Drosophila melanogaster: one gene and its partners. The protein of the gene in region 2 interacts with the protein of the main gene of each other region in a pairwise test. Each region holds a gene or a part of one and is shown on either strand. Other genes may lie near its edges. The genes, in order: Awh, CG8478, CG1024 and CG1603.

Region 1 (8,079 bases), on a different chromosome or scaffold from region 2:
AGCGACATCCAAAAACCAGAAATCACAGCAACCAGCAACTCGAACAACCAAGCATGCAATGAGATAAAGACACTAAAAAATGGGACGAGGGCGGCGTTTTTACCGACGAGGATAACTCTAATGATAATGATGATGGTAATGATAATTATTATTAACAAAAAAAAAAAAAAAGAAACAAAATCCACAAACCAAAAAAATGTATTTATTTATTTTAATTTATATATACACTAGAGAGTTATTACAAATATATATATATATACATAATGTATAAGGAGAAAGAACAAACAAAATGCGTTTGCAATGGGGGAGCGAATCAAACGATTGCATAACTAACCTATCCTTCTTTACAGATTTTTCTAATACAAAGTGTAACTATTCCCTTAACAAATTATTAAGTTCTCTCAAAGTTATTCATAATATAGGTTAAAGGTTATCTTTCCCTCAGGAACATTAAACATAAATTTTCCCTGGCCAAACAGCTCGGCTTGGCCAATGATTTATGGGCTATGAGAACGCATTGGACAGTCGCTTACCACCACAAAATGATGTCCTTTGGCACATGTTACCACAAAAACGGGCCATAAAACGAAACTTGAGCAAACAGGCGCTGGTCAGGAGTTGTGCAAACAGCCGAGAGGTAACTGGCTATATGTAGGTGCATTTACCATCTATTAAACGTTGTACGCTCCATGGTTCTAGCCCCAGGCAATTAAGACATATTTTAGGGGTTGACCAGTGGATCTTAACATCTTCATAACACGCGCGATTGCGACACAAAGCCTAAAAAAGGTAGCCACAGAAAATCGAACATGCCACCAACAGTTTTCCGAAAGACCTGTCCCAAAAACCCAACCAACCGACCAACAAAAATAACTGAAAACGGAGCCAACAAATTACCCTGAAATTTTCAGTGATCATAGAAAACGAGCACTGGGAGAAATTCTTTCTTTACAAGCTATCTATCTTCACCTATTTAATTATTTTCTAACTCTTTAAGGGCACATATATTTTCTCGGTGCATTTTCAACTATGAAGAGAGAGTTTCTTTTGGTCATCCCTTCCATCTTATCGCCGCGATCGGTATCTGCTTGGAGATGCCCAGCACATAAATCTGCCACCAAAATGGGCAGATCCAGAGGGAGAGGCCGAAGAAACCAAACCCAGAACCCAAACCCAAAAACCAGCGACTGCGACAGGTTGCAGCTCAATAAAGATCCAAATAAATATAATATCGCTGGTCTATGAGTCGAACAATGGGAGATATGAGAAGGATGTGTTCATTTAGGGTTCGCGGGTTCCAGTTCCATTTACCTGCCCGGGTTTCAACCTGTTCGAGGGCCAATTCGAAGGCGGTCGAAATCAAATGGCCAAGGCTTTTGTAAACGGGTGACATTTAAGAATTATGGCATGTAAATGGAAGGCATTCCCGGAACGGCGATGCGATGACAGCATCTCTTTCAGAAACCCCAGCCATCGGATTATTTTTTGATCGGGGGGCTACTGTTAATCAATTTAGAGCCTCGAGGGTCGAGCTATTTTTATTTCTTTCCAAAGTCAGATGCGGTCCAGGATAAGCAAAAGGCTGCGCTTCGATGTGCTGATTAATGGGCGATAGTCAAAGGTATTAGGGAAAGTATACAGATATGATTTTAATTAAGACATTTCGCTTTTAGTTTTGATCCAAATGAAGATCTTAATATGCACTATATGGCAATTGTATGAAAAAGTAGCAAAATTGCATGTTAACTGGATCATTTTATCGGTTTAATGTGTAATCTTATTGTAGTATTTCTTCTAGGCGCTCTATTTCCTTTAATTCCCAGTTTTCAGAGCGCTTTTTTTGCAGCATCCCACGGGGCGTATGCGTGTTAAAGCTACCAGCTGCTGTCGGACTTTTGGCTGCCTTTTGATAAATGCACCGCTATTAAAGTGCCGCCTTTGTAATGCGGAAACATCAAAGTGCACTTACACACACGCACTGCAAGGCAAACATTTGCATTCACACACACACAGGCACACACTGACAGAAAGCCATAAAAATCACTTTGTAGCCATGGAGGCGGTGCATCAGCGCAAACTATGCAACAACAACAGCGAGAAAAAGTGCAATGCAATCAATTCAAAGGGGCGAAAGGAGAGCGGAAAATTCAGCGTGAGGGGGAAATGGGGGTGTGAAATTACACTTGAAAAAATATGACCAACTTGCTGACGAAATGGAAATTAAACAACAAATGACAATACCCTAAAGCAGTTTGCAGGTTTTATGACAGATATTTCTATAAATGGTTAACTTTAAGCTTGAAGCTTTTATTTAAGTATAGAACAGTTTAAAGATATATTAATTTTTTTCCAGTGCAGTGACAGGAGAACGAGAGCCAGCAGGCAGCAGCATTTAATCCTGCAAAAAAGGCATTGCGAGGCACCATAAAATGATGTTAATCCTTAAATAACGTGAGCAAAGCAAAAAGCGGAGAAAAAGTGGTAAAAAAAACGGGGGCAGGCAGAAGGATTGGCGAAGGAGGAGGCGGTGGGGGCCACTCGACTGGATGATGGCGACAGCCAAATGCCAATTGAATGCCAAGCGGCTTTAAGAGACAGCCCACGATCAAAGAGACAGTGAATGAAAAATGGTGCAAAGTAATGGTTAAAGTGCTCGAAATGGAAATCCTCAAGGGGATCGGTGTTGCACATAAAGCTTAAACTCAGGCTTAAATCAAAGTATAAAGGGGACAAAGGAAACTGGAGTAACTTGAAGAGTTATTTAGCACCAAGGAATCATTAATAATAGTACTTTCTTTAAAAGTATTAATATAAAAGCAATATATTGTTATTGTTGTTATATTATTATTGTTAAAGCCATGCAATTTAATTTTATGTTAAATAAAATAAAATGTTTTTAACTTTAAACCTTTTTTTCTTTGAGTCAGTCTGCTGCGCTATCATGTTTGGCATGCCATCACAAACAGCCAACAGAAATAAAAAATATATAACCGAAAAGACAGCAGCATCCACTGGCATCAACTCACTTCCCCTCCATCAAGCGGTTTGACCCCAAAAAGTCAAGTGCGGCGGAGCTCGAGTTCCGTTTTCCCTCTCCCTTACTTCCTCCCTCGATATTCGGGTTTTCCTGGACTTTTACTCACTCAGGCAGCAAAAAAGTCAGCAGGAAAAGCAGAAATGACAGTAACATCAGTTGAAGTCACGGTGAAAATTATAGTAACAACAATATACTTACTTGAAAAAGCAAAAGTGGCAGTAACAACAGCAATATTATTGAAAGGCACAACAATTCAAGGAGAATCTTAAGTGGAAATATCCTGAGTAAAAGCAAAAGAGTTAGAAGCAACATCTGTTCCAGTAAACGCAGCAGCATGACAACTGTTACAACTGCAACAGGAGCAACATTGGTAGCTTTTCTAGGCAAAAGTAACCACAACAGTGAAATCTTTTCTAGGAAAAGCTGCTACAACAGATACTGCTTTATAAAGAACAAAAGATACAGTAACAGCAGCCACACGAGTCTCAAAAACAGCAGCAACAACATCGAAAGCACCAGCAATATGACAGAAATTCCTTCGAGTAACAGCCATATCAGTAGAAATGGCAACATCGTCACCAGAGCAACACCCACCCAATTCGCGGCACGATTTCACTCCGAGTTTCGACTCGATTCAAGTGGCCAAGTTGGCACGCGCCGGCGCACTCAATTGGTGCACAGGCGGCGCGGACTGGGAAAGCACTCAAAATGGGGGACACCACTGCGGAACTCGTTATGCGGGGCGCAAAGGGGCGTGGCCAGGCGGGCCAATCACCACCATTCCCGTTGCGCCGACGACAGATGTGCGCTCAAAAACCAGTTGAGCGAGTTCTCGAGTCGAGTTTCGAATGGGACTGACTGGTGGTTGTGGTTGTGCGTACGGCTGGTTCATCATCATACCTGTGGTGGTGGCGGGCATGCCATGAGCATATGGAAACCGGGCGTGAGCCGAGCCAGTTGAGCACCACCACCAGATCCCTGAGCTCGAACCCCGAGCGCCGGCAGTTAACGCAGTGGCCTCGAAGCTGTAACAACATCTCGCGTCCGCTCGATCCGCTCGATCCGCTCCGCTCCGTCACGAGAAAAGCGAGAAGCGCTCAGAGTATCTGCAGTGAAACGTGTTATCGTGATAAGGTTCTACGAGTATTCCATGCCATAAGGTGTCGCACATTATATTATTGAAATCGAAACGCAACATTCGCCGTCGGCTAAGAAAGTGAACTGTTATCGAATGTGCTAATCAAAAACAAAAAAAATGTTGCAAGCGCCTGCAAATTGATTTCTATCTCGGATATGCGAATTTACACTGGTTATTAATAGATCTGGTTTAAGAATACGATTATATAAGCATCCTATGCAGACGGCGGCTTCCGTGGGACGCTTGACAAACTGATCAAGTCGTCGTCTTTATCATCTATATCTCCTCATACTGGCTGCGATCGGGCTCGATATCGATTCCCAGGCTAAAGCTGGCGACAGATTTTCGAGCAAGATACTTGGATTAACAACCGCCAAAATTGTGGAGGCAATTAAAATGAAGGTGAGTCTCGATTGCTTTATAAAAAGATAGATTGAGTTGTAAAAAATCAACTTTATTGCTATTGGAAAGAGGAAAGTTATCAGTCTGTGTATTATAAATTTCTACATTTTTGAATAAAGTTAGTCTTTAATATTCTCTATTAAATTAGACTGTAAGTGTTGCATGTTCCACCCGTATTGCTCGGCGTTTGAGCGGTCTGTTTGCACACCCCCTCAAAATGAAGTTTCTGCTTTCCTTTTTAATTGCTGGACATAAAGTCCAGTAGACCCCGAGTGACCCACAAATCAGTTTTTTATGTAAAGTTTCCTAGCCCGCTGCGAGCATATTGGGCCAGAAAACGCAACAGGCGGCGTTTGCTCGACCATTGGGAGTAAAAAAAGAAGTGAGCCGGAGTTAAGACAAAAACCGGAGCAAAACAGTTTCAATTCAATTCGAAAAAGCCAGCACACTAATAGCGGCTGGAAAACGATGAGTTTTCAAAAATATGGAGACGACACAGGGCGGTGAATATGAAAAGCACACAAATCGCACAGTGGGGTTCCTCCCATCGAAAACACTCAGCGAATAAGCCACAGATCGCAGCCCACACTTTTGGGTATTACTCGAATATTGGCTGTGAAATGAAGGCTGATATTCGGATGTATCTGCAACCAAACCCCAAAAATCATATTCAACTTGGCCTTTTTTTTTTTTTGTTTTGTATCTTTTCAAGACATTGCATTGATCGTGTCGCCTAGATGATGTTGCTCAATCCCTTGTTCATTCAACAACACATATTTTTTGGTTTTTGAATTTCGAATTTGATTTTGACTTTGATTTTATTTCATACCCAGTCCGAAAACGTTTAATCGATTTTTACACCCGCTGTGCGACGGGCTTTTTTTGTTGTGTGTGTGAACCACCCACAGGATTTTCGAAAAATATTTGCCATGAGTCTGCAGAGAATCGATCATGATTTATGCTCGCCGATGATCGATTTACCATGGCTTTGTTCGACGAGCATAATTTTCATTACCATAGCAAATTGGACAAGGTGCTGACGCTTATTGCTCTGCGATATAATTTTAATCGCCCGATTTTATTTAGCTAGATTTCTATACGCACCACGGTCATAGGGGGAAAAATCAGATCAGCGGGGGATCCGCTTACAATTCGAAGTCCAGAACTCAAATGTCAACAGTTCTGAGGTGCCGTCGATGGTCAAGGGGCATGGGGGATTCTCGGCGAGAGACCTTTTCTTGACATCATCGATCTTGACCCGGCCCAGATGTTGGTGGATCCCCCCCCTTCCACATGTCGCCGCCCCGCTTTATCATCCAAATCCAAATCCGAAAATGACGCCACTAGGCGCTGCCTTATGAATATTCAACAAAGTATGGAGATGGAGTCTTTTTTTCCCTGCTCTTAGGTAGTCAGTCGGAGAAAGAGATATAAAAAAGGCATAAATATTTAAGCGCTTAAATGTCGAATGCCTGCGAAGCAGCTATAAAAAACGTATATACATATTTCAATAATCGATTTTTCATTAATAATTCACAAGAAAATTGAAAGATTGGAAAAAACTAAACCTCCCATAAATAGATACACCAAAAATGTTTTGTGTAAGAAGTCGTTGACGCCTCCATCTGCGGTTCGAAAAAGTTTTCTTTAATTGGCAATTGGGTATTTGAAGGCGAACTAAAAATACAGAGTGATTACAGAGATTTTAGGATTTGACTTTCTATATCTCCATCTACTTATTAGCTTTGAGTGTTTGACAAAACACCTTTTGAGGATTACACGCCTAACTCCATTGTCCCATAATCCCGCACAAGAAACCAAAAAAAGGAGCGCGTGCCGATGGCCAAGATTTTCCTACTTACCAAAAGGATGTTTTGCAAAACCAGCTGCCTGGCCAGCGGTCAGCAGATTTTTCAGCAAGCCCCCTAATAATTGGATTCCCAAACAAAGGACATTCTGAAGAGTGTCCTGTGACCACTGGTCGAAAATGCCTAATTGTCAACGCTGACAAGAAGTCTACGCCTCGGTTCTTGTCTCCTTGGGAAAACAATGGGCAAACGGAAAATGCATCTTGACTTGAGCCAATTGCCCCGATCAGGGACAAAGAGAAACAAATATCACACCTTTGTTTTGGGCCTCGAATCCATATATGTAGTATGTACATACCTATTGACAATAGATGCCAGAGTTCCTGGTCAGTTTTCAGTCGGGTTGCGCATGCGAATTGCAGGAAGAGATCGCTGGGTAGATGTGTCAAAATCGCAGCAGCATTTTTAGCAGGTAAATGCGAGAAGTCCTCTTCGAATGAACATCGAATGCAGGAGGCACAAGAGGTCCTCACAAAACCGCACAATGGAAGGCGAGTCGAGTGTCTTGCCATTGTTCGTTCGAGTGCATCCACAAAATAGTCCTTAAAGGACGCTTAGTTGGCCTACAAATGATGCATGGCCCTTGGGCCTGTAAAATTGTAAAATGCCACAAATCATTGCCACTCCTGTCTGCCGGCAACTCAAAAAAAAAAAAAAAAAAAGAAATCAAGGAAGATAGAGACCCAAACCCGCCCCTGGAATTTACGAGCCAACCCCTAAATGCAAACCATTCGATTTCGATTTCTGGCAAAAAATTCCAATAAATAAAATAAATGTCCTTTTGCCAGTTTGTCGCCTGAAAATATTCGCATTTAATTGCTTGACAATTGTAAATTGGCCAAAAAGGAATCGTTTTCGTATTACAAACTGTAGTTCGCATACTATATAAGTTATCCCACATTTTCAAAAGAACTTGATTTTAAATAAAATGTATAACACTTTCTAATATACATATGTATCGCTACAAATATGCCACTTGATTCGTTCTTGCCACTTTGTCATCAAAAAAAATTTGTTTTTAATTGCCTGACAATTGCAAATTGAGCCGATAGAGAATTTCAATATCATTTTATCGATGGCATCTACGAACAGTAGCCAAAGTGATTAGTTTTAGGGAAGCGAAACTAGTTTAGAACCTCTTTGCCGTTTGAAACTCACCGCTAAAATCATTCAAAGTCACCCAAATAAATTATCGGCTAGAACTTTGGCGGTGGCCCACAAAAAACAACTCCGGTCTTGATTTATTGGCCCACAAAAAAAGGGGGGACAGAAATACAATGGCCGAAAGCTGGAAACTGAAATATGAAAATATTATATGTGTAATTTATGCAAAATGCAGATTTAGCTAATTAATTGTGGCCAATGCTCAATAAAAAATAAGAAATCAAACACGAAATCCCCCTAAAAACTCCGCACAAAGATGAGCTGTAGTAAAAAAAAAAAAGACAGACGACGACTCGAAATCAATAAAAGCCCAACTTATTGATGTTTAGTGGCTGTGACATGTTGACGAAAAGACAAAAGCATTTGGGATTTTCGGTTTCGGATTCACTCGATGCTCGAGTCTCCAACTTTATGATGAATGCCTTAAAAATGCCAAAAAAAAAGATACATATTCAAAATAAAAAGCACGA
Region 2 (7,697 bases):
ATGAAGATTCGACAAATTATCGAGCAGCACTACCGCGCCAAGGGCAAACAAATCGAAAACGACTCCGCAGAGACCCAAAAAACGCAAGGAAAGGCTGGATTACGGCAATCCGTAAAGTCCATCATAAAGCAGGAGAAGATCAAGGAAATGATCGAGCAGATCGCTACGATGGATCTGACACGCATCTGCGATTTGGAAAGGACTTCGACCAAAGATTGCTTAAAACAGGTCATAGACAAAATAGATGACAGCGAGGGTTTGAAATCCAAATGACAAAACCTATCACACTTTAAACTGTTTTATTAAATTAAGCTAAGCGTTTGTTAATGGCACAGTTGTAAAAATTTAAAATAAAAGCAATAATAAAAGCGAATCAAAATTTCAGGAATTTCCTATATCTTGATAGAAAATTAAGTCGCGGCCAAATCGCACCCGAATCGCGTCCGAATCGCGCTAAAGTCGCCTCAAAATCCCCCCTAAATCGCATCTAATCGCGCCTAATTAAGCTCAAACGCTCTAACTAAACATAAATTGCCAAATAGAGTATGACACATTACGGCACGTCGGATATATTTTTTGCTGACCAAAAATAAATATAAATTAAATTATAGAGTATTAAAGTATCGTCATATATGTAGAACTAGTCATTAGGGATATCGCAATATCCCCATCTCTAGCTTAAACGCGATATATGTATTTAAAGTAACAGTGGTGGAAACACACCAAATTATTTCGGCAATAAAATCGAAATTACAAACTTCCAGAAAGCTGTTATCTATATAAAAAGGTGTGATAAGCCTTATGTCGCAGGTGTATCAACGCTAATCCACTTAATGGCGCTTTCACCACAGACCAACCCCTCTCACACGTATCCATTCACCAGCAATCATATGTTTTCTTATCACCTTCAGGTTGACCTCAAACGCAGTACGGCGAATTTTGGAAGGCAATCGGTGCGGTGAAATGGAGCTGACTGGATGGGTGAAGAACTACGGCTGGGGCCGCAAGGGCATCAACTCGGCGGTGGCCCAGCTGGCAATGGCCAATGATCCGGACTTTCGTCTGAACGAGGAGGAGACCTATGCGGAAATGTGGATGGGCACGCATGTGTGCGGTGTGTCCGTGGTCAAGGAAACCGGAGAGACTCTGGACCGAGTGCTAAAGAAGGACCTTTCATACCTGTTCAAGGTGCTAAGCATCAACAAGGCACTCAGCATCCAGGTGCATCCGAACAAGTGCGAAGCGGAGCGCCTGCACAAGGAGCGCCCGGATATCTACAAGGATCCCAATCACAAGCCGGAACTGGCCATTGCCCTCACGCCCTTTCTGGCCCTCGTGGGATTTATGTCAGCCGAAGATATCAGGGACTACATCGATGAGTTCCAGCCGCTGAGTAAACTCATTGGCAAGGAGGCTGTGGATCAGCTCCATGACTCGACCAACTCGGAAAGCGTTAAGTTGTGCTACGAGAAGCTGATGAAGACCGAAGAGCCGGTGATAGCCAAGTGCATCAGTGAAATAGCCAAGGATTACCAAAACGGTGAGCCATTCTGTGCAATCTATGAAAGATTTGTAAACATTCCTCTAAAATAGAACTGAAATCCAACGATCTGCTTGAGGTGTTCACCAAGGTCAACAAAGACTTCCCCGGCGATGTGGGCGTACTGTCCCTGTTCTTCCTCAACCTAATCCGCCTGCAGCCCGGCCAGGCGATCTACTTGGGCGCGAACGAGATTCATGCCTACCTGGACGGCGACTGTGTGGAGTGCATGGCTTGCTCGGACAATGTGATACGGGCGGGCCTAACGCCCAAGTACAAGGATGTGGACCAGCTGCTGGAATCTGTGATCTTCGAAAGTTCGTATAAGGATCGCAAGGAGTTCATTCCGTACCGCATAGATGACCAGGTCCAGGTCTATATTCCGCCAGTATCCGACTTTGCAGTGATAAATGTGAATATCGAACACTCGCTGGAGTCGTACAAGCTGGAGATACAAGCATTCGGCTCCATATTGATAGTTCTAAAGGGATCCCGCATTCTTAAATTGAAAACCCAGCAGGGAGATAAGGAGATCTTGGTAACCCGCGGCAGCATTGTGTACATTCCCGTCGAGGCGGCGCCGGAAATCGAATTCGCCCAGTCCGACGATTGCGACGAGGACTTCAGCGGCTACATAGCAACCAGCAACTACTTTCGAGTGCCCTAAAATTCTCAGTTAATCGAAATATTTTGTACAGTGCAATAAATCCATTAACACGTTTTGGTGGTGAATTATTTTGTTTATATTTACTTGCAATTAAGAGCTAAGAATGTAAGCTAAAGTGGCAATAGTAGCGATAAATAAGTTATCTAATCAATTGGCTATACTCGTTCCATAGTACATTTAATAATTAACGAGAAATATCTTGCGCACAAACAGGTAGTTTCTTAAATATTTGCGATAATTGCAACCAACAATTTCAAGTACTTAAGCTAGAGCTACGTAACTCGATCGGGGTTACATTCACTGGGGATAAATTATTCATATGTACGAAGCAAGAGGTTCGAGTGCAAATCTAGTGTAATTCAATAGAATTGGTGCTTGGACTGCTGTGCTGGGCTTGCGAAATGCCCAAATACATGGCCTACTTAAAAAGGGTTAACAATGGAGAACATAAAATTGGCTACGTTATACATAATTTCCGCCCGTCTTTGTTTGGTTTTTCGGTGCCCGTGCGGGATGCGGTGGTTCTACGAATTGTAAATACATTAATTCACATTTATCCATCTCAGCAGTTGCTTGGTTTGATTTCACAAAGATCGGTAAAATGCTCAAAAAGTTTGTACCAAAAACAGAGTACATCATATACGGTAAATCTCATAATAAAATTGTTTCCGGCGCCATCTGGTTGCCATTTGTACACGAGTGTAGTAATAGTAAGTAGTTAGTATGTTGGTTCGCATATATGTATATATATATATATATATATATATATATATATATATATATATATATATATATATATATATATATAGTTTTAGAAAGTAGTAGTTAGTTCATCCGGCTCGGCGGCTTAAAGTTCTTGTAAGTAGATGGGTTTGTTACGCTTGCGTTTGCCAGGAGTAGTTGCCACTACTTGTATATGTGTATAATATATGGTATCAATAACGCAATACCACCAGCTACGGTTTGTGCCCACAACATTGGTTTCTTTCCCTAACAACATTGAAATGGAGGTGGTGTCTGACTAACATGTTCGCTATGGTTTCGGGACGTGGCCGTTGTGCATATTTAACTCTTGAGCAGATTGTTGGCGCGCTTGTTCACGCCGTCCATGCGAATGTTGTTGGCATCGCCCTTGGCATTGATGCGATCAACCTGTTTGTTTTGGTTCTCCAGCTCGGAGCCCATGTCCAGGGCCATGTTGCGCAGGTTGCCCAGCATCGAGTTCACCTGCCCGAGATTCTCGTCCATCTCATCCTCACGCGCATCGTTCGTGATCCTGGCCACATAGCCGGACTGCGGTGGTGCACCCATGCCGCCGCGTTCCCGCTCATCAATGACCCTTTGCGGCTGGCTGGCCACGATTTTGCCATCGTCATTGGCCTTCCAGGCGCTCTCACCGTCGTCCTTGATGTTCACCTTCTTCCACGGCAGCACACAGATGCCACAGCACTTTTCCATGCCACTCAAGTTCTTCTCCGCCTCCCTCATGTCCGCGTTGATCCGGTCCATGCCCTCCTCAATGCGGTCCAACTGCTCGCCCTGGTCATCCAGGGCCACCAGCGTGCGGATTCCAGCCTCCTTGCTTTCGTCCATGAGGGCGAGCATCCGACGCGTGCTCTCCAGGGATTCATCGGCCACCTGTCCGGACTTGAACTGCAGCTCCTGGAGCTCAGTGCGCGGCTCGGCATTCTCCACGGCGGCCATTTCGGAACTATCTATCTGGTGAGATCACTTGAACTTGAGCTTGGCAAGTGGTTGAGAGGCAAGACGGCTGTCTTGTTTTTTTTTTGGGTGGGGAAATCTGGCCAGTGACTCACTCGCGCGAGATGAAAAACTACCCTTGGTGCTGGTTCGGTGTGTGAACTCGGTGGATATGTAATTGGGGCGGGGATGAGCTCGTTTGTGCTCCGTACGTAGGAACTTATTGCCAAGGTTTAATAATTTATTTGCGAAAGTATGAATTTTCACACCACACAACAATTCGCCAATTTGTATACTAGAGCTGCAAAAAAATCGATGTTAGTATCGATGTCGTTTTCGATAGGCGATTTTTACGTGTGTTCACACTGTTTAATATTGCATTTAGGCTTAGTTCGCAACAAGTACAATTAAAGAAATTATGCAAAACAAGCTGCAAACTATTTACGAAACAGGGCTTGCTTACGTTTTACTATTAAATCTGAGTTTAAAAGTTTAATATTGCATTTAGGCTTAGTTCGCAACAAGTACAATTAAAGAAATTAAGCAAAACAAGCTGCAAACTATTTACGAAAGAGGGCTTTCTTACATTTTACTATTAAATCTGAGTTTAAAAGTCGATTTACCATGCATAAACTAATAATCCAGTCTGATATTACACTTTTATCTAAGACATGAACCCTGTTCGAGTCTGATAAAACACAATTATTTTATGTTTTCAAAAATATTTCCCATCTAGTCACTGTAACCTTTCAATTCGTCGTGTGCCGAAAAAATTAGATTTATTTCTACAAAGTCTCCTACGCGTTAACATCAATTTGAAAGTAGTGAAGAATTTATAGTTTTTTCAATACTTTTCATAATTTAAAGCCGCGCATTCCCATCGGCGCCGTTGCTATCTTCATTGCGCGCGCAGTGTTGAAAAGTGTGTTTGAAATATTAACGCTTTGTTTTTTCGGTACAGCGTCGGTCTTCAGCTGCTCGAATTTTTGCTTAATTGCTTGTATTTATTAATTTGGGAATTCCTCGTGGCCAATTGGGAATAGCATATACTTAACCATGGACGATTCGCGCAGAACTATGGCCGGCAAGGCAAGTGTTTGGTGGTTTCAGTTGGTGTTGCTTCCATTTGCCGGGAAAAGACTTCCGAACATTATCCCATTTTCATTGCTAAAACAATAGTTTCACTTCCAGCAGATCGATTCCCGTAGCTCATCGATAATGACAAACGATGAGAGCGTCTCCATGTATTTATCCTTTGACGCGGAGGACACCCTGTCCAATGCCAAGTGGCAGTCGGCCCTGGTCACCCAGAACAGCCAGTTCCTGGAGGTGCACAACAGCAAGGTGGAGGTAAACACCGATGATAAGGACCTAAGGCGCACTATCCTAAAGGATCTGCATCAGTTGACCATTGGGGAACCGGACCAGAATTCTCCTCTGCGCCCATTTGACAAAAGTATTCTTAACCGGCACAACGCCTTGTGCTCCACTCCCTCCAAGGGCAATATTTCGACCGAAACGCAGACACCACAGATCATGGAGAGCATAGATCTGACCCAAATTGACGACAAGGAAAACACACAACCGGAGGGGTGTGGCGGCGATAACTCGACCTTGTCCAGTTCAGTGGACGTGACCGCCAATACGGTTAAGGCCAATACCCTAAAAACAGGGGATGCTACCATGGACAATGTATCCTTGCAGGAGGCTGCCAAGACCCCAGCTCCCAGCCAAGTCTATCCCTTGAGTGCGAACGTAGTTTTAGAGAATATAACTGAAGGTAGGTTTATACTATTGAGATATGGTTTCGTTCTATAAACATCTACATTTACAGTATCCAACGAAGGAGTATCCATGCTGGTCTCGCCAGCCGGAGCCGAAAAGGAGGTCGCCCATGTCAACGAGGTAGTGAACGAAGTCTCTGAGCTAATTGCCAAAGCTCTAAAGATCTCCGCTGATTCTGTGAAGCCAGCGACCTCCAAATTAAAAGTGGAGGCGGGCAAGAAGAGGCAGTCCATGAGCTCCACTTATTCGGGTGCCGCCCTACCGCGCCCTCGGCGCTCCTATCTGCCCACCACCACCGCAGAGACGCGAACGTACTCCTTCAAGCAGCGCATGTCGGTGGTGGTCAAGACAACGCTCAACAGCCCAGCTCGCAAGCGGAGTGTCGGTGGCGGTGTGTCACTAAGCCGTCGCAGCTGCTTGCCCGTCTCCAAGCTAACAAAGAGCAGCATAAGAAAGTCGCTCGCTGTGACCAGCGTGCGTTCGCCTGAGAAGATCGCCTCAAAGCCGGCTAAGACATCGACAAAAAGCATTCCGGAGAAAGTTTTTAGCTGCAAGAATTGCAGCACAACCTTTCGGGTGAAGTCACTTCTTGACGTGCATATGCGAATGCACGATCCGGTTGACAACGGAGCCAATACCCTTAAGCGTCTGAACAGCAATCCGGTTGCAGCGGGAGTCTCGAAGAATCGCTGCAAGTTTTGCGATAAGAATTTCGCACTGGAACGTGCCTTGCACATCCATTTAATGCAGAACTGCGACAAGATACCGCCGTCCGAGAAGCGCAAGCTGGAGTTCACCGAGCTGAACCACGAGAAGAAAGCCCAGCTGCCAAAGATCGGTGGCACCAGTGGCATTAACCATCCCATGACGATGCCCCAGAAGCCACAGCAACGCATTAGTACTATTCCCAAATTAGGTAACTATTGATTGAACAGCACGCGTTCTTAGAGAGAAATTATTACAAACCCAATTCACAGCTCCCTCACAAGGAACCCAGTCCATGGCTCCACCGAGCGTGAAAAAAATTCCCAAGAATGTGGCGCATGCCGGCGTCTACCGCACTCCCACAAAGACTGTGCCCTGCCACATCTGCAAGCAGTCGTTTAGGAGCATACTCGAGTTCACAAACCACAGCCTGACGGTGCATGGAAACAACCAGCTTAAGAAGATGACCGGCAGAGAGGATGCACAGAGTGCCCACGATTAAATTAAGCGATTCGTGTGTAGCCTAGTCTATGTCTAAGTTAAGTGCTGTGGCGTAGCTGTGGTCCGGTAACGGCGCGTTGTGAACAGATCGCCGGGCAGCTGTGAGTTAGCAATGCCTGGCATTTCGAGCGCTTCTAACTCAATGTTTCGGTTACTCGAATGCTTATTAATTGTACACTTCAGCTGCACGACTGGACTGCTTTGTGAATTTTTTAGGTTTTCGTATGACATTCACACAAAAATAACTATCGTAGTCTAAATGACAGTAATTACATTATATTCTAGGTTACTAAAAACTATTTTAGTTTTGAATTTTGTGTTTTCTTTTTTTTTTTGTTAAGGTTATTGATTGTTGTTCTTAATTGTTTTCTCACGGAACAAAAATTGCGTTTTAAAATTTGAATATTTAAATGGTCACTAGTTAGAGCCACTTTAAAAAAAAATAGTTGGCAGTACTAGCAAAAGTAGATTTCGCTGCTTTTCGCTGAGCGTTGGTTTGGCCAGTGGAAATGCAGGCAGCATTCAGCGCCTTTTATGCAGCTGCCAAAGGACTCGGACTAATATGTATGTACGTTTTTTGAGGGTGCACCTGCATTCACATAATCACTTGCTCTTCTTTTCGGGCGGTGGCTTCATGTCCACACCCTCGGTTTTGATATCTAGCGGTCCTGTGGCATTGTTCATTTCGGAGGCATTTCTCGCTGTGTTCAGATCATCGCCCGCTGGTGGCGGCTGCTGGAGATTCTGCAGCATGGGCGGTATTGGTGGGGGAAATTTACGCAAAAGCTCTGCCAGCAG
Region 3 (8,277 bases), 3.4 Mb from region 2:
AGGGGTGTGGTTGCGGGAAAAATCCAGAACTTCGATGGTGAACATCATGAAGTATGTCGAGCAGGAATCTCAGTGAGTACCACTTAAGGAATATATAGGGTTGTTTACTCGGGCGTCCTTACGGGATTTGGTAAATATTTCAACCTGAAATGATTATTATTTATTTTTTAATATTTTGTAATCCTTTCTAAATCTTATCTAAATTTATAAAAAGACCGAAAAATTGTACCTGTTGTTATTAGGAGACAAAGTATCTGAATGTTATAATTCTGTCACTTTTCTTCTTAAATTAAAAATTAAATTTTTCAAAATTACTATAAACACCAATTGATTATATTTTGACAACATAAATGTTGATAATATAAATATTTTTTTTTGTTTCTAAAATAATATTAGGGCTTGCAAAATAATGGACGCGAGTGTGCGACAAATGCCTTTTGACAATTTTACATGAACTTTTAAAGGAGAGGAATCCATTTATTTTCATGACCACCCGCTGGAAAATTATAGTAATTTAGTCTTGATGTTGATTTCACTCACATTTTTTTTATTGATATTAATATTTGATATGATATAGTTTCTTTTAACAACACTCCGTTATGAAATTCTTCTTATGTTATATGCGGCCGTACGCTTCGCGATCTTCTCAAGAATAAAACGATTGCATGTGGATTCCATTGGGCTCTCTTCTCTGGCGAGGGATTGCATTCTGCCGGATGACTCTTGCAGATGATATTGATTGCAATTAATTAAGAGGGGACTTACCTTAGTTTATTTATCTTAGCTTATTCCATAATCCATATCCATAACGATTGTTTTTTATAAGCTTTAATAGAAGAACTCAACCCCATGAACTTATCTTTAGAAAGTTTTAATTATTTGTTGGTCCGAAAATTAAATATTTTATATAAAGATTCGCTTGTAAATTTCCAGGCTACATCTAAGAACATTCAATACATAAAATAAATGTGGGTTTCATGATTTATTACTATATGAAAAAACGGAATTAATCAACTTCAACTTGTGTTCCCATCTATCAGGTCGCCGAAGTACAACTTTTTACAGATCGTGCTGGAGAACGCTGAATCCGTGGGCTGTGCCATCGTTCAGCAGTCCCGGCATGGCTGGATTCAGACGTTTTTCGCGTGCAACTATGGCCACGCCCCGGTTGTGGGCTCGCCCGTCTACGAGCCCGGGAAAAAGGCGGCGGAGTCCTGCAAGACCGGAGCGAACCCGAAATATGCACATCTCTGCGCCGAGTCCGAGGTCTACGAGAAGGTTACGCCGAAAGCAGGAAACGCGTCCAGTCCCGAAATTAAAACTAGAACTCTTGGAAAACGGGACTTCGTCATGCTCAACGGCGAAAACGCTGATGGAACGCCGCCAGCTGAAGGTGGGGCACCAGCACCAGCAGCCGATGGAGCAGCAGCAGCGCCTGCCGCCGAAGGAGGAGCAGCTGCACCTGGAGAAGCTGCAGCCACTCCAGCAGTCGACGGAGCAGCGCCAGGAGCCACTCCAGGAGTCACCCCGGTGGAGGGAGAAGGCTCCACTCCTGCACCAACAGCTGGAGGGACACCCGCTTCCGAATCGCCAGGAGGGGAAGAAGCTCATGCCGAAGGGCTACTGGAACCCATGCCAAAGCCTCTGGACAGGGCTGCGCTGGAGAAGAAGTTCGCCCGCTTCCTGGCGCTGATAAAGCGGGCTGAGATGTTCCATGGTCGCCGGAAGATCGTGGTCATATCCAGCAATCACGAGGTGGATGATGACCGCGTGCAACAGGAAGGCGCAGAAGGCGACGCAACTATTAGAACCATGGAAAGGGCTTTCTCCAGACGCAGAGCAATAATGAGACGCTCGATAGGTAGCCACATGCGCAGTCGTAAGCCAAGTGGCTTTTGGGCTCCGCAATGGATAGCTATGCCTTGAAGCTTACCTAACTGAATAACAATTGCTTTAAAGTGAAATGTTTTAAATTAAACATAATAAATAATCGTCATGTTAAATTTAATCCTTAATCTGATTTATAAAATGAATTAGTCAGAAAAGTATTCCTCGTATTAGTAATACAAAGTGACTAACGAAAAGAATGTTAATTAATTGGGTAAATATAATTCTGGTTAAATCATATTTACATTCAGCACAAGTGTTTTTGCCCTGATACGAAATCAATAGGATTGAGCGAAAGATCGATCTTGCAGCTTTTTTTTTTAAGTTAAAAGTGGAAAATACATTTTCATTCCAGCAACGTTTTTGAATGGTTCATCCCACATCTTATGCCTTTAAAAAGTTTAATTTAAGCCCCTTTTTTATACTATTATCTGATAGCCTCAAAACATTTAACAATAGAGTCGATTGTCAAGATGTTTTTTACTCGTTCTAGGGAACTGGGAAAAATGTTGGCAGCCGCCCCTATATAAGTCCATCGTTTTACAGATCAGTCATATCAAGTCGACCCTCCAAAGAGCAATCCGTTGAAAATGAAGTTACTTTTGGTTCTAGCTTGCGTTGTGCTCTACGTATCTCTCGCATGTGGCCAGAATCGCTGCGATGGTCGTCCTAGGGGTATGTTTAATAACAGCATTTAGTAAGTGTACTTTTATAGCTGATCTACACTTTCACACAGGTCGTCTGAGTTGCGAAGGCGGCAAGAACGAAGGATTTGGGGGAAGGCATTGCCGGAGAACTGCCATGGACGAAATGTGGTACTATAACCAGAGAACCAGGAAGTGCCTCAAGATGAAGTACCTCGGATGTGGCGGCAACCAGAATCGCTACTGCTCCTTGAGACACTGTCAAAGGTCGTGCCCATGAATTTAAATGCCTTTATCGATCCTGTCCTATAATTCACAGCAAAAAAAAAAAAAATATAAATGTACTTCTTGAAAAACATATTTATGAGAAATGGATTTAAAATATCTATATATTATTTAGTTGTATACGCTATATAGTTAACATATAACAACTTAAATGCAGATTGATACATGTTTCATAGGCATGTAAGTCGTATGTGTTAATTATGATCTTTTCCTAGCACAATATTTGCACAAGGATTTGAAAACTTACGTATATTTTACACTTGATGATATTTGCAAAACGATGGACCGACTTAACTTTAACTAGACTATACCTAAGGCTTTTCACGTTGCATCGTCTTCCAGATGGCGTTCATTCGCATGTGCCCTTCTCGCAGATGGTTCAACAAGGCTTCAACGGTCCCTTCGACTGACTTGCCAGCTCCAGATCTCCTGCAAGAGGCAATGTGTCGTTCGTAGCGCCATTTGCTCCTAAAGACTCTGTCACAGTGCTCGCACACAGCTTGCTCGCCCTGATCGTCCTCGGATCCGGCGTCATCCGCCATGGCCGCTTGACCGGACTTGTTGGGACTGGCCCACATGGGCTCCGGCTTAATAAGCAGCTGCGTCTTGTTTTTACGCTGCAGCTCCTCCTGGTGGTTGTAGCGAATGTGATTGAGGATCTTTGAGGTGCTGGTCTTGGTGCGATCGCAGAGTGTGCACTTGAGGTACGACCGGTAGGGCAGATGCTTGAAGCAGTGCTTCTGCAGTTGTGAGCGCACGGTCGTTGGTTGCACCTCACGGCACTGCAGGCACATGGCCTTGCGCCCGGACTCCAGGATCTTAAAACTGTTCTCGATTATGTGCTCGAAGTCGTGCTTCTTGAATACGTGTGCCCGCCAACCGTCCATCGAGGCGATTTCCTTGCCGCACTTCGGACACAAGTACGATATGAGCTTCGTGAGGCCGTTGGTGGACATTTCCGTGTCTGAGTCGCGGCTGGGCGTCGTAGAGATGCGTCGACGCTTAGTCGGTTGACTTATTGGGTCCGACTTCATTTCCTTCTTCAGCTGGGCCACTTCCTCCTTGCCGAGTGCATCGATCTCGATGATGACCACCTCCTGATTTCCTTGCTGCAGGTGCGCATCGTCTTGCTGCTGCTCCTCATTAGCTTCTCCTTTGCCGGCGGAGGGGCCATCATCAAAAAACTCCTTGCAGAGCGCATCCAACTCGTCGTCATACTTCGGCACCACCTCTTTCTCCTCCTTGCGCACGATGTCCTCGTAGGCATTCAAACACCGATCTAGATTCAGCTCGCTGACATTTGAAATGGGCTTAGGTTCGTTTACAGGAGCCGCTAGTGCTGTCACTGGGGACTTTTCCATTTCTGTGTTCAGATCAATGTCCATCAGCGCCTTTTGCAGCAGATCATTTTGCTTTCTGTTCGTGGAACCTTTGGGACGCCCACGCGGCTTCACAGCCATCGGCTTCTCTGCATTTCCAGCTGGTGCGGCCGCTGTAGTGGGTTTCGCCTGCTGCCGCTTCATCTGGCGCAGCTTGTTCTCGTACTTCTCGATCTCCCGCATGTGCGTGTCCAGTAGGTGGACGTTCAGAGCCCGGCGCCTCGTGTACGCCATGCGGCAGTGCACGCAGCGGTAGGTTTCACTGTGCTCCAGATGCATAAAGTAGTGGTACTGCAGGAGGGCGATTGTCTTGTGGGCATTCTCCACCCATTTGAAGCACAGCTGGCACTCATGGAATCGCTCGTCGATCTGGATGAAGTTGAAATCTGAGTACGTCTTCTTTAGATAGTCGTGTTTCTGTGGGCACATTTCAAACCATTATTAAAGCAGAACTTGATTTGCACAAAACCCGCAACTTGCCGTGTTCAGATGCTGTCGCCACTCCGCCTGAGTGCGGAACGCCTTGCCGCATTCCGGACATATGTAAACCATGTGCGCCTCCAGACGCGCATTAAGCCGACTTTGTTCATCCGAGAGCGTCACGTTCCGCGACATTTTCCCTAACATTTAAGCGACAAACTGCAAATGAAATCCAAACAAACTAGACAGCGCTTTGTGAATTTATCGTTATTTGCTATGGCGACAATCGTTTATCTAAAAAGAGGTAATCGATAACCGTGACTGTGAACGGATATCGGCTGTCACTTTATTTTGATAGAACATTACAAAACTTTGAAGTTTTTAAATACCTTGTAGGGCTTGAATATGCAATCTTATAATATCTACTTTTCCAATTTGTTTATCAAAATCTCTTGGAATAAATATTATTTTTCTGCCCAAACGATACGATACACTTGCTTCCAAAGAATAACTGCACTTCTGTTATCGGACATCGCTAGAAAATCCAACTTTTCTGCCCGCGCCGCGAATTGTAAGAGTTTGGGGAAAAGTATAAAATATCCAGATAGAAGCAACATATGATTAGCAAACATTAAGCCATGTCGAGCGCGTCAAAGTCGACGGTAAGTCTTTACCCTGCCGCTTCCGGCGCCAACACTTATTTGCGGTCTTCGCTTGATTTCATGCAGCCGAGCGCTGCCAGCGGGAGCTCCACGTCCGCAGCTGCCGCCGCCGCAGCCTCTGTCGCCTCAGGATCCGCCTCGTCATCCGCCAACGTGCAGGAGTTCAAGATCCGCGTGCCCAAGATGCCCAAGAAGCACCATGTGATGCGGTTCAACGCCACGCTCAATGTGGATTTCGCGCAGTGGAGAAATGTGAAACTGGAGCGGGAAAACAACATGAAGGAGTTCCGGGGCATGGAGGAGGATCAGCCCAAGTTTGGTGCTGGATCGGAGTACAACCGGGATCAGCGCGAGGAGGCGCGCCGCAAGAAGTTTGGCATTATAGCGAGAAAGTACCGTCCAGAGGCACAGCCATGGATCCTTAAAGTGGGTGGCAAGACTGGAAAGAAGTTCAAAGGCATCCGCGAGGGCGGCGTAGGCGAGAATGCAGCTTTCTATGTGTTCACCCATGCACCAGACGGCGCCATTGAGGCATACCCCTTGACCGAGTGGTACAACTTCCAGCCTATTCAGCGCTACAAATCGCTGTCGGCGGAGGAGGCCGAACAGGAATTTGGTCGGCGCAAAAAGGTGATGAACTACTTCTCCCTTATGTTGCGAAAGCGTCTGCGCGGCGATGAGGAAGAGGAGCAGGATCCGGAGGAGGCTAAGCTAATTAAGGCAGCCACCAAAAAATCCAAGGAGCTCAAGATCACTGACATGGATGAATGGATTGATTCCGAGGATGAGTCGGATTCGGAGGACGAGGAGGATAAAAAGAAGAAGGAGCAGGAAGACAGCGACGATGGCAAGGCCAAGGGAAAGGGCAAGAAGGGCGCAGACAAGAAAAAGAAAAAGAGGGATGTTGATGACGAGGCCTTCGAGGAGTCGGACGATGGTGACGAGGAGGGCAGAGAAATGGACTACGACACCAGCTCCAGTGAAGAGTATGTGCCCCAAACGATTCTGATAATGGCAATACAATTTGGACCACATCTACTAATTTCTTATACCCTATTCTAGCGAACCAGATCCAGAGGCAAAGGTGGACAAGGACATGAAAGGCGTGGCCGAGGAAGATGCGCTCCGCAAGCTGCTTACCTCCGATGAAGAGGAGGATGATGAGAAGAAGTCTGATGAGTCGGACAAGGAGGATGCCGACGGCGAGAAAAAAAAGAAGGATAAGGGCAAGGACGAGGTATCCAAGGACAAAAAGAAGAAGAAACCCACAAAGGACGACAAGAAGGGCAAGTCGAATGGCAGCGGTGACTCGTCCACAGACTTCAGCTCTGACAGCACAGACTCCGAGGACGACCTTAGCAACGGACCGCCCAAGAAGAAGGTCGTCGTCAAGGACAAAGACAAGGAAAAGGAAAAGGAGAAAGAGAGCGCTGCGAGCAGCAAGGTCATCGCCAGCAGCAGCAATGCCAATAAATCTCGCTCGGCCACTCCAACGCTCTCGACGGATGCCAGCAAGCGCAAGATGAACAGCTTACCCAGCGATCTCACCGCTTCGGACACAAGCAACAGTCCCACCAGCACGCCAGCAAAGAGGCCTAAGAACGAGATTAGCACATCGCTGCCCACTTCCTTCTCTGGCGGCAAAGTAGAGTGAGTAAAGCCGTGATATACTGGAATTCCTAATTCTAATTTCATGTATTTTGTTTAGGGACTACGGCATCACCGAGGAGGCGGTGCGTCGGTATCTTAAGCGAAAGCCCCTGACCGCCACCGAGTTGCTCACCAAGTTCAAGAACAAGAAGACGCCTGTCTCCAGCGACCGTTTGGTCGAGACCATGACGAAAATCCTGAAGAAGATCAATCCCGTCAAGCACACCATCCAGGGGAAAATGTATCTCTGGATCAAGTAGCCCGCAGTCATGTGATTTTAATGTTTCATAACTCAAATGCATTATTGTTCAACACAAAATATAAACGCACCACTGAAAATCGGTTAATTTTCTTGGTTAATTCGAAAAGGCAAGTAGTATTTTGCACAGAAACTGATTTTAACCAATTCATTGTATTTGTACTTCTAGAATCTTAAAAACTAGTTATTAATGCTATATCTTAGTATTATATTTCTATATGGTTTCAGGTTCTGAAGTTGAGAATTCTAAATTCTGTACAATGATCTGAAACAGTTGCTGAGAATACTGGATTTTAATATTTTTAAAATTTTAGTCGATAGCTATCGAAATATGGGAGTAATCGATGTACGAAAACATCGCCGTCAGGAAGCCAGCAGCAGCTATACATCGATTTAGTTCCAGCTCTAGCCCTGTATATGTGTCTGTGTTCGGGTGGGATGTAAATTCTAATATCCGATAATTAGAAAAGTGAACCAAACCCAAAGCGTTCTTATCGCGACTGTCATGCTCTTTTCGCAGCCACTGCGCTGTCCCCGCTGAACCACGACCACCAACTAAAGGAACCCGAGGAGTCCGAGCCCCAAAAGGGAGCAAAACAAAGTACAACGCAATACCAGTGCGATGGCGACGAGTGAGGAGGCGAGCGAGTGCTGAAAAAATAGGATTGGATACAGGAACTGGCCAGAAGTCGCTCCAAACGGTCAACTAAGAGCACGAGAAGCCCTAATCAAGTGAGTGACCAGTGGATTTACGCGAATGGGCGTCGGGAAAGCAAAAGGAAATCGCTCAGCTGCTTTGTTGTTGTGCTAATTGAACGCACACAAGCACAGTAGCAGGCACGCACACAGAGGCGCCTAAAAAAAACAACAAAAGCGAATATACGAAATTTAAGTGCAATAACTTGTGGGCTGCTGCCTCCAATCGAGGCCGCTTTTCACCTGTAACCCACCGTTGTACACCATTCAGGAAACACCTGCCTAGTGCCTATGTATGTATGTATGCGTGTTTGCGTGAGCGTATGCCCTCCCCCAAAAAGGAAAACCTTGAAACCACACTCGTGCCTTGTAAAGTTCAAGGTGTGTGTGTGTGC
Region 4 (7,880 bases), on a different chromosome or scaffold from region 2:
AGTTTCTGAGTTTTCTTCTGCCGCGAGATCGACGCATACTGCGCGTGTAGGCTGGTGATGCACTTCTTCAGCTTATAGGCCGTTAGGTGAAGATTGACGGTCGCCTTTAATTGCTCCAGCAACTCCTCATAGGCATTTGCGCGTTTCTCCTTGTCCCTGTACGACTCATCCGCTGGATCCCAGAGGCATGTCTGCTGCTTATACAGTTCAATGAACTGTGTGATCCGAGGACTGCGTCGGTAAAACGTAGGATTGAACTGCCGGGATGCAAAACGTCTGCTTTAATTTGTTGGTTTTTGTTGCTGGTGTAGTCAGTTGCTTACTTTGGTTAAAGGAGCAAAGTGTGTGGAGTTTCTGGTGCCCAATTCGCAGTCAACTGTCATCGAGGAGGAGTCCACCTCGTCGTCTTCTTCCTCCTCCTCCTCCACCGGGCTGGTGCTCTCGTCGTTCTCTGATGAAGGTGGCACGTCAACGAACATGTCTTCAGCCAGGCAATTTTCCGGAGGCTCCTCCACTATGAACACCTTGGCTGGCGAGACCTCCTCCTCGCATTTGGCTGACGAAATGACTTCGGAAGTAGTGAGCTCTTGCTGCATGCTTGGATTTGCTTCCAGGTGCTCCTTGACGTGCACGATGAACTCTCGCCACCGCTTGAACTCCATCTCCACGTAGCAGTCATTTTGGTGAGCACACGCCAGAACAAAGTGCTCGAAGTTGTTCCTGGCCAAAATGTTCCCGCAAACCACCATGATTTGCTTACAAACAAATAAGATACAATGCCAAATAGCACAACAACAACGCCATTTATCGGTATCGATAAGCACCGGATGGTCAGTGTTGGGAAGATACCCGCGGAAATTCCATTGAAACGAAATCATCTCAATTTTAGAAAATATTTTATATGTAGACAAATAATTATATATACTATACAGCTTAAATTTAAATCTTGCTATAACATGAGTATTAGTTGTGTTAAATCAACTTTTAAATCAATTATAAATTTTTAAATATATTTTAAACTATTTCATTTTAAGCTGGAATAAAAACACTACTTTTAGTTGACTGATTCTGGTACTTATTCCCATTCGGAACAAGAGTCGAATTCCCCGACAATCAAATACTCCTTACTTAGCCAGTGGAAATACAAGTAGTTCATACGGACAGACGGACAGGGACAGACCGACTCGGCTATTGGTCCTTATCGAGAATATATATACTTAATATTGTCGGAAACGTTTCCTTCTGCATGTTACACACCTTTCATCGAATATATTGTAGTATACACTTTTTTTAAAGACACTAGAATATTAAGGTGCGTAACGGCCATTACATTGGTTTTCAACTATGCAGTTACTTTTTTGGTGACGGCCAAAATTGATCTCACTCCGCACGCGTAAAATGGAGAGCGTAAATTTCTTAAAATAGAATGTACTTCCTTGTGTGTGTTAAAACAACAAACGAGAAAGTGTATATGAGCATACTTGTGCTAGAAAACTTTCGTCTCGAAATCAATTTTGATCTCAGAAACGAAGGTACATACATACATATTTAAAGTTTTGGTCAAAGCTTGTTGCAATACGATCTACTACAGAGTTATTTAAAATTTAATGCCTTGACTATTCTTTTAAGAAGAGTTGTTATTAATTAAATACCGCTTATTTATTTTTGCTTATAATTAAAAATATTTAAAATTGCACTGACGACATACTTCAACAAGGGTCTATGAGCAGTATCTTGTACCGTATAAAAATTATTTTCATCATTATTTAAGCTAATAAACTAAATAAAGTCTTAAATCGTTATTATAACTATTGTAATTAAAAATATAAATTTGGCAAAAAGGAAAATACATTTAAAAAAATATATTTCATAAAAGAAATATAAATACATTGTTAAAAATGAATATATATAAAATTTTGTACACGTCATTTGATCAAAAATAATAATAATAGAGCTGCTAGCTCTAGAGCTCTCCGCTCTCTGACTTTTGAACAAAAACTCGGGAGAGCCTCAAGCCAGCTCTAGATCTAGAGCCAGAACCAAAAAATCATATGTTATTCTAATATCTCCTCTACAAGTAACGGTTATACAAATTTATCTTAAAACGAACTTATTTTTCCGGCTTCTTCTTTTTTTTATGAATAATACATTCCTTAAACCAAATTTTGAAAAGGAAAGTATGAAAAAGGAAAAGCTTGTGCATATGATTATCATACACATGTTCTTATCAAATACACAAAAGCCGTAAGTGCTTAACAACACGCTTGTTATTATCACTACTCTAACGTAAGTTTATTCTTGATTTACATCAAATGAAGCTTACTGATTCTCGTTATCAAAAAATAAAGCAGTTTCTAAAAATGTCCCTCAAGGCGAGAGTTCATTCCGATCTGTGGCTGCGGCGATGTCTGGAAAGCGAAGAATGGTCATAGAACGTAGCATCACAGTACTCGCACTTCTTATCACGGATATTCAGATGTCCTTTGATATGGTTGGCCAGCTCGAACTTCTTGCGGAAGGTTTTGGTGCACATATTGCAGCTGTAGGGTCTAATGTTCAGGTGAACTCCGTTGACGTGGTGGTCCAGGAGTAGCTTGAGCCGGAATGTCTTGCCGCAGATGTCACAGACGTGAGGCCGCTCGCCCGTGTGGATTAGTGTGTGCACCTTTAGGTCGGTATCCACGGCGAACGATTTTTCGCAGTACTGGCACTTCAACTTGCGTTCGAAGTGGGAACGCAGCTTGTGACGGTCCATGTCTACGTGGCGGTCGAAGCGCCTCGGGCAGAACGAGCAGAGGTACGGTAGGTCGCCCACCTCGTGCGCCTTGACGATGTGCACCCGTAGGTTGTAGTCGCCGTGGAAACGTTTATCGCAGTAGTCACAGTACAGCACCTGACTTTCGGAACCCTTGGCGGGCAAGAAGCTGCACATTTGCAGATACTGAACCTCTTGCTTGCTGCACTTCTGAATTAGTTCCTTGGATTTGAGGCGACGAATGGCATCGTAAAGCCAACGGCGCAGCTTGTTGACCGCAATGTAAACGTCCGTTTCGTTGGCCTTCACCACTGGCTGGAATTCCTTTGCCATTCTTTTGAAGGCATCTGCACGTATCTCTATTGAGCCAAAGTCTGGCAACGCTTGATTATACAGCACGGGATAGTTGGCATAGGTCTCTATGAATGAGGTGGTTATCAGGTTTTCCTCCTTAAAATTAAGCTGAAAAAAGGATTTTTGGTCAGAAAAGAGCTACATTATAGTGGGCTAGTTATTACCTTAATTGCAGTCAAGTCGTTGTCCTCCTCGTTCTCCCTTGGCGTTACAACAGGCGCCACACTGAGGAACTCGCACTTGGCAAAGTAACGCGCTGCAAGTCCAACAAGCTTTCCCCTTTGTTTTGTCTCCAAAGCCAGCGTGTACTGCACGTGCAGTTGCTCGAGCGTTTTCTTCAGTTCTTCCACGGTGAAGAGAACATTGGCCTTGCGGTCCATGCGTTCCATTATCGCCTCGTAGGCCATGCTTCGTGCAGGCTCGTCCTGGTAGTGTTCATCGGAAGGGTTCCACAGGCAGGGATGCTCTTTGTACGCTTGGATCAAATGCAGCACACGGGGATTGCTCCGAATAAACGAAACTTTGAACTGAATGACGCCGTTAAGTGGAATGAATTTCAGCTTAAGTGAAATATACTACGTACTAACCTTGAAAACCTGTCCTGGTCTTGTTCGCCTGGGCGGACGTCCAGGTTTTCTAGGAGGTGCCAAGTCATCCTCAGACATAAAGAAGTCACTACAATCAACATCATCATCGTCTGTGTTTAGGGGTATGTGATTTTGGGAAGACTCGTCCATTTGTGTGACTTCCTTTCCGGCTGGAAGTTCCAAAGAGCTGCCGCCTGGACCGAACTCCCAGGAATTGTTTGTAGCTGCAGACCAAGCGGTGGCGTCTTCCTCGTACTGGATATCCTGCGGTCAACGAGAGCTCACTTATTTGACCACCCTTGGTAAGCGAGTGAAAGAGTCTTACCTTGCTATCAGCTTCCATCCATTGATCGACCCCATTGCTGTTTTCGATCACCTCGAAGAACTCATCCGGCCCATAGGCGATGGCTGGGTCCGCCGCGTCAACGACGCTGTATAGCTCCTCGGTATCCTCTTTGATTTCATTAATCCTAACGTCCTCGTCTTCGCAGTAGTGCGCCGATTTCACATGGACGATGAACAGCTCCCAATCCTTCAGCTCGCTCTCTATGCTGCAGTAGAGGCATTTCAGCCGGAACATCTCGTACTTGGAGTTGGTCATCACATTGCCGCACAGCTCCATGCTTACGTTGTGCGCTCTGATCTGACTTCAGCTTGAAAAATGTTCCTTTTCTGAAAATATATTCGTTTATTTAAGGTAACAATTTTTTTATGCGTTTGGGACTGTGTTGGACAACGACTGAAATAATTATGTATCGATAGACTATTCGATAAAAATCTATTTTTAAAATAATATTTAAACACAATTTTATGAAGGCTTAAAAGAAAACGTTTTAACAACTGTTGGTGGTGCTTAAAAATGATTAAAAATCTGCATTTCATGAATGAATCTTTAAAGTAACTAGTACATTTCAATTTTCGAAAAAAAATGTTATAAAATTCTAGTACTAACCATTTGGAAAAATCAAAATCAATCAAGCTTATTTGTTGAGAAATTATATTTTTTTTGTCATATCGATAGAAAATAGCGAGACAAATATGAACAGGAAAACACCAAAACGTTTTTCAAATGTATGGGCGTTACAGTTGTCGGCGCCTTGTGGGCGTGCCAACATTTTGGAAAAAATAGCGCAGCGTAGGCAGGGGAATGTGTTTAGGCTTTTAGATGTACATCCCCAGATTTCGACAGATGGACATGGCCAGATAATGTAGAATTTATATTCTTAATTATTAATATACATTCTTAAACCGTTATATAAATAAATTTGTTTAAACATATTGTTTCACTCTCATTTGTGTATTTTTATTTCCCCCCATTTGCAAAAGATTGCCTATTTATAAACTGTCATTTTATTGCAAATTTAATCAAATTCAGTTCTCTGCATCCACAGCATCTTTACCCTTTTGTGAATTATTACGAAGAATGTTGTGGGTGCGCTTCATGTGCGTATTAAGACCCACAAACTGGGAGAACCTGGAGTCGCAGAGTTTGCACACAAACTTCTTCACCTCGGAGTGAATCTGCCGGTGTCGGATGAGTGCATGGCAGCTGGTGAATCCCTTACCGCACACACTGCAGATTTTGTCGCGGATGTTTAAATGGCCCTTGATGTGATCCGATAAGTCGACCTTTTTCACAAAGTCTTTGGGACACATGGTGCACTTGAAGGCTCTGATCTTCGTGTGAATAGCCGTGACGTGGAGCGTCATTTGGGACCGCAGTCGGAAGGCCTTGCCGCAATGCTCGCAGACGTAAGGCTTGTGGCCAGTGTGCGTACGGATGTGCAGCTGCAGGTCCGACATCACAGCGAATGAACGCTCACAATGGGTGCACTTGTGGGTCTTGCCGATATGGACCCGCTGTATGTGATTAGCCAGCTCGCAACGTCCCACAAAACTTCGGTCGCACAAGGTGCATTTGAAGGGCAGCTCGCCGATGTTGTGCGCCTTGAAGATGTGCGACTGCAGGACATGATCCGAGGACGTAATCTGGTGGCAAAATTCGCAGACCAGCCGCTGCTTGTACATCTTTGCAGGCATGAACCGACACACCTCTAGGTAGAACTTCTCGGCTGTACTTCCGGCATAAATGGCATGCTTAGTGTTCTTGTAGTACCATTGGCGGAGATTCTGGATGGCGCGGAATATGTCATCGCTGTTGATGTCCACATTGGGCACTGAGATTTCCGCAGCCATGCTCTCGTATGCCTGTTTTCGAGAGCTCATATTGGAGAACTCCTTGTGGTTGGAGTCGTATAGCTGCGGAAAGTTTGCGTACATCTCTATCAGGTCGGTAGTCAGCTTGTTTTTCTTGGAGAAATCAAGCTGCGGGCAAAGTATGCTTGTTAACAATTTCAATTTGAATTAATTCAAATATCTTGCCTTAATTTTTTCGTTATTCGTAGCCCCTTCTTCATCGTTGCTAGCGTTCAAGAAGCAACACAATTTGTATATACTGAAAGCCAGCGATTGAGGTTTCTGTTTTCCAGACACCACCCGCTTGTGCACGGTGTTGAACTGCATGTGGACTTTCTTGATGGCCAGCTTTAAGGCCATCTCGTTCAGGAATACGGATACAGTTGCCTCCAAGTCAATGGCCATACGCTTCAGGGCTTCTTTGCATTTCTTGGGTTCCTTGTAGTCGCTGTGAGCGGGATTCCAAAGGCACGGGTGTTCCTTGTAGATCTCTATGAACTTTATGGTTCGGTGATCTCGGCGAAAGAAGGATGGATGAAACTGAAGTTGAATGCTGAGATTAGTTTAGCGCGTTCATGAATGGCTTCTAGAAGTACCTTGTATGTGGGTGTGGTTTTTAAATTGGCATCATCAAGAGCTGGTTCACTTGGATCCTCGTCCTGGACGGATTCTTCTTCATCTGTAACCAAAGATACGTCCGACTCCTCAGTCTCGTTTGTCGACGAACGCACTGCGTCAATATGCAGCTGTACACAGGCTCCGTCCGCCGATTCGTCTTGCTGGAATATCGACTCTTCCGCTTGGGGTTTCTCCTCTGGAGGATCTACGTGCCCAGACTCCGTAGAATTTTCCCCCACTGGCTCGAAGTCGTCTTCCATGCTCCTTACTTTGCTATGCACGTTGCGGATGTGCAGCACAAACTCCTGCCACTGGGCCACCTCCACGTCCGTTGGACAGTAGGAGCAGCGCATCAGGAACTTCTCGTAGTCCCTGCTCACACAAATAAGGCCGCAAGTTTCCATTTTAAGTTAGAAATAACAATCAAAAGCGTTTGTTTATACATATCCGACTATGAGAGACCATGGGCGCATTCACAAATGGGCAAAAGGGTTCGACAGACGATATTAAATTCGTTTGTTTTATAAGTATCAAATTTAAAAAATTTCTTTTATATGTAAGATTTTAAATGTAAATTAAGATAAATTAAGTATAAAATAATATACACTTCGAGAAATGGCAAAACGTTAGTAATATTATGTAAATATTAATACTTTTTTTCCATAAAGCTAACAAATTTCCTCTCTTAACTCTTTCGTATCAATAGTTTTAAAATAAATATAAATTATACGTAAGACTTTAGCATTTATTAGTTTTATGTGCCTACGCCCCTGAAGTTTTGCTTGCCGTCTATCGATAGCATACAGCACTTATCGATTGTCTAGCCTTTATATTTGACTTCCAGCTGACGGGCGGCAATTATATTGAATTTGTTGTGGTTTTCGGTGGAGCGCGGTACTTTCGATGAAAACAAGAAGATGGAACAGCACAAAAGTTGGCTGGTCTATACCATCGGCATGCTCACGGCGTTCCTTTGCGGCGCCGTGCTCTTTCTGATTGGCTTCTTTCCGGCCTCCTACTCGGTGGCGGAGAAGGAAAGCACCGTGCCAGAGGGCCGGCCCACCGCTCTGCTTGGCATGGAGTGAGTTTATGAGCTGATAATTGCGTGAGATAGCGCCCCTATAATGCTCGTTACCCTTTACAGACTGACGCCGCCGCCACCTGCCTATGACTCCTTTGTGCTGTTACTGGTCGACGCGTTGCGCGATGATTTTCCCGATGCCACGTCTATGCCGGTGGCTTATTCTAGGGCCTGCGAGAAGCTTAAGCTCCATGTGGACATACCGACGGTGACTATGCCACGCTTGAAGAGCATCACCACCGGCACCCTTTCGAACTTTATCGACATTGCGCTAAACGTGGGTCATACG

Evidence for each region.
Region 1: the proteins of CG8478 (region 2) and Awh interact in a two-hybrid assay, tested with the Drosophila melanogaster proteins (one large-scale study listed by BioGRID).
Region 3: the proteins of CG8478 (region 2) and CG1024 interact in a two-hybrid assay, tested with the Drosophila melanogaster proteins (one large-scale study listed by BioGRID).
Region 4: the proteins of CG8478 (region 2) and CG1603 interact in a two-hybrid assay, tested with the Drosophila melanogaster proteins (one large-scale study listed by BioGRID).

What each region holds. Positions count from the first base shown.
Region 1 is NT_037436.4:3,842,171-3,850,249, forward strand, and holds the start of Awh (arrowhead), read left to right. Parts: upstream 1-4,035; 5' UTR 4,036-4,571; coding exon 4,572-4,577; intron 4,578-8,079. UniProt on the Drosophila melanogaster protein: Probable transcription factor. Required for the establishment of a subset of imaginal tissues: the abdominal histoblasts and the salivary gland imaginal rings.
Region 2 is NT_033777.3:9,758,939-9,766,635, forward strand, and holds CG8478 (uncharacterized protein), read left to right. Parts: upstream 1-4,815; 5' UTR 4,816-4,964; coding exon 4,965-4,997; intron 4,998-5,087; coding exon 5,088-5,688; intron 5,689-5,742; coding exon 5,743-6,609; intron 6,610-6,670; coding exon 6,671-6,900; 3' UTR 6,901-7,197; downstream 7,198-7,697. Other genes in the region: Alg12 alpha-1,6-mannosyltransferase, read left to right, coding at 1-273; Mpi (mannose phosphate isomerase), read left to right, coding at 964-1,540, 1,594-2,207; Snap24 (Synaptosomal-associated protein 24kDa), read right to left, coding at 3,273-3,911; MED6 (mediator complex subunit 6), read right to left, coding at 7,503-7,697.
Region 3 is NT_033777.3:6,375,343-6,383,619, forward strand, and holds CG1024 (uncharacterized protein), read right to left. Parts: upstream 4,866-8,277; 5' UTR 4,823-4,865; coding exon 4,676-4,822; intron 4,613-4,675; coding exon 3,128-4,612; 3' UTR 3,064-3,127; exon of another isoform or gene 3,054-3,063; intron 2,892-3,053; exon of another isoform or gene 2,838-2,891; 3' UTR 2,812-2,837; coding exon of another isoform or gene 2,624-2,811; 3' UTR 2,563-2,623; coding exon of another isoform or gene 2,478-2,562; 3' UTR 2,007-2,477; downstream 1-2,006. Other genes in the region: CG42564 (uncharacterized protein), read left to right, coding at 1-72, 1,041-1,926; CG42537 (uncharacterized protein), read left to right, coding at 2,478-2,562, 2,624-2,811; TfIIFalpha (transcription factor IIFalpha), read left to right, coding at 5,254-5,277, 5,344-6,263, 6,340-6,927, 6,986-7,187.
Region 4 is NT_033778.4:7,511,947-7,519,826, forward strand, and holds CG1603 (uncharacterized protein), read right to left. Parts: upstream 4,445-7,880; 5' UTR 4,319-4,444; coding exon 4,022-4,318; intron 3,961-4,021; coding exon 3,697-3,960; intron 3,637-3,696; coding exon 3,274-3,636; intron 3,218-3,273; coding exon 2,381-3,217; 3' UTR 1,900-2,380; downstream 1-1,899. Other genes in the region: az2, read right to left, coding at 1-257, 324-749; CG1602 (uncharacterized protein), read right to left, coding at 5,068-6,021, 6,079-6,432, 6,489-6,914; PIG-G (phosphatidylinositol glycan anchor biosynthesis class G), read left to right, coding at 7,428-7,591, 7,655-7,880. UniProt on the Drosophila melanogaster protein: Chromatin-binding protein involved in the organization of active promoters and insulators. Essential for the activity of heterochromatin promoters; primarily binds to specific motifs within promoters of housekeeping genes.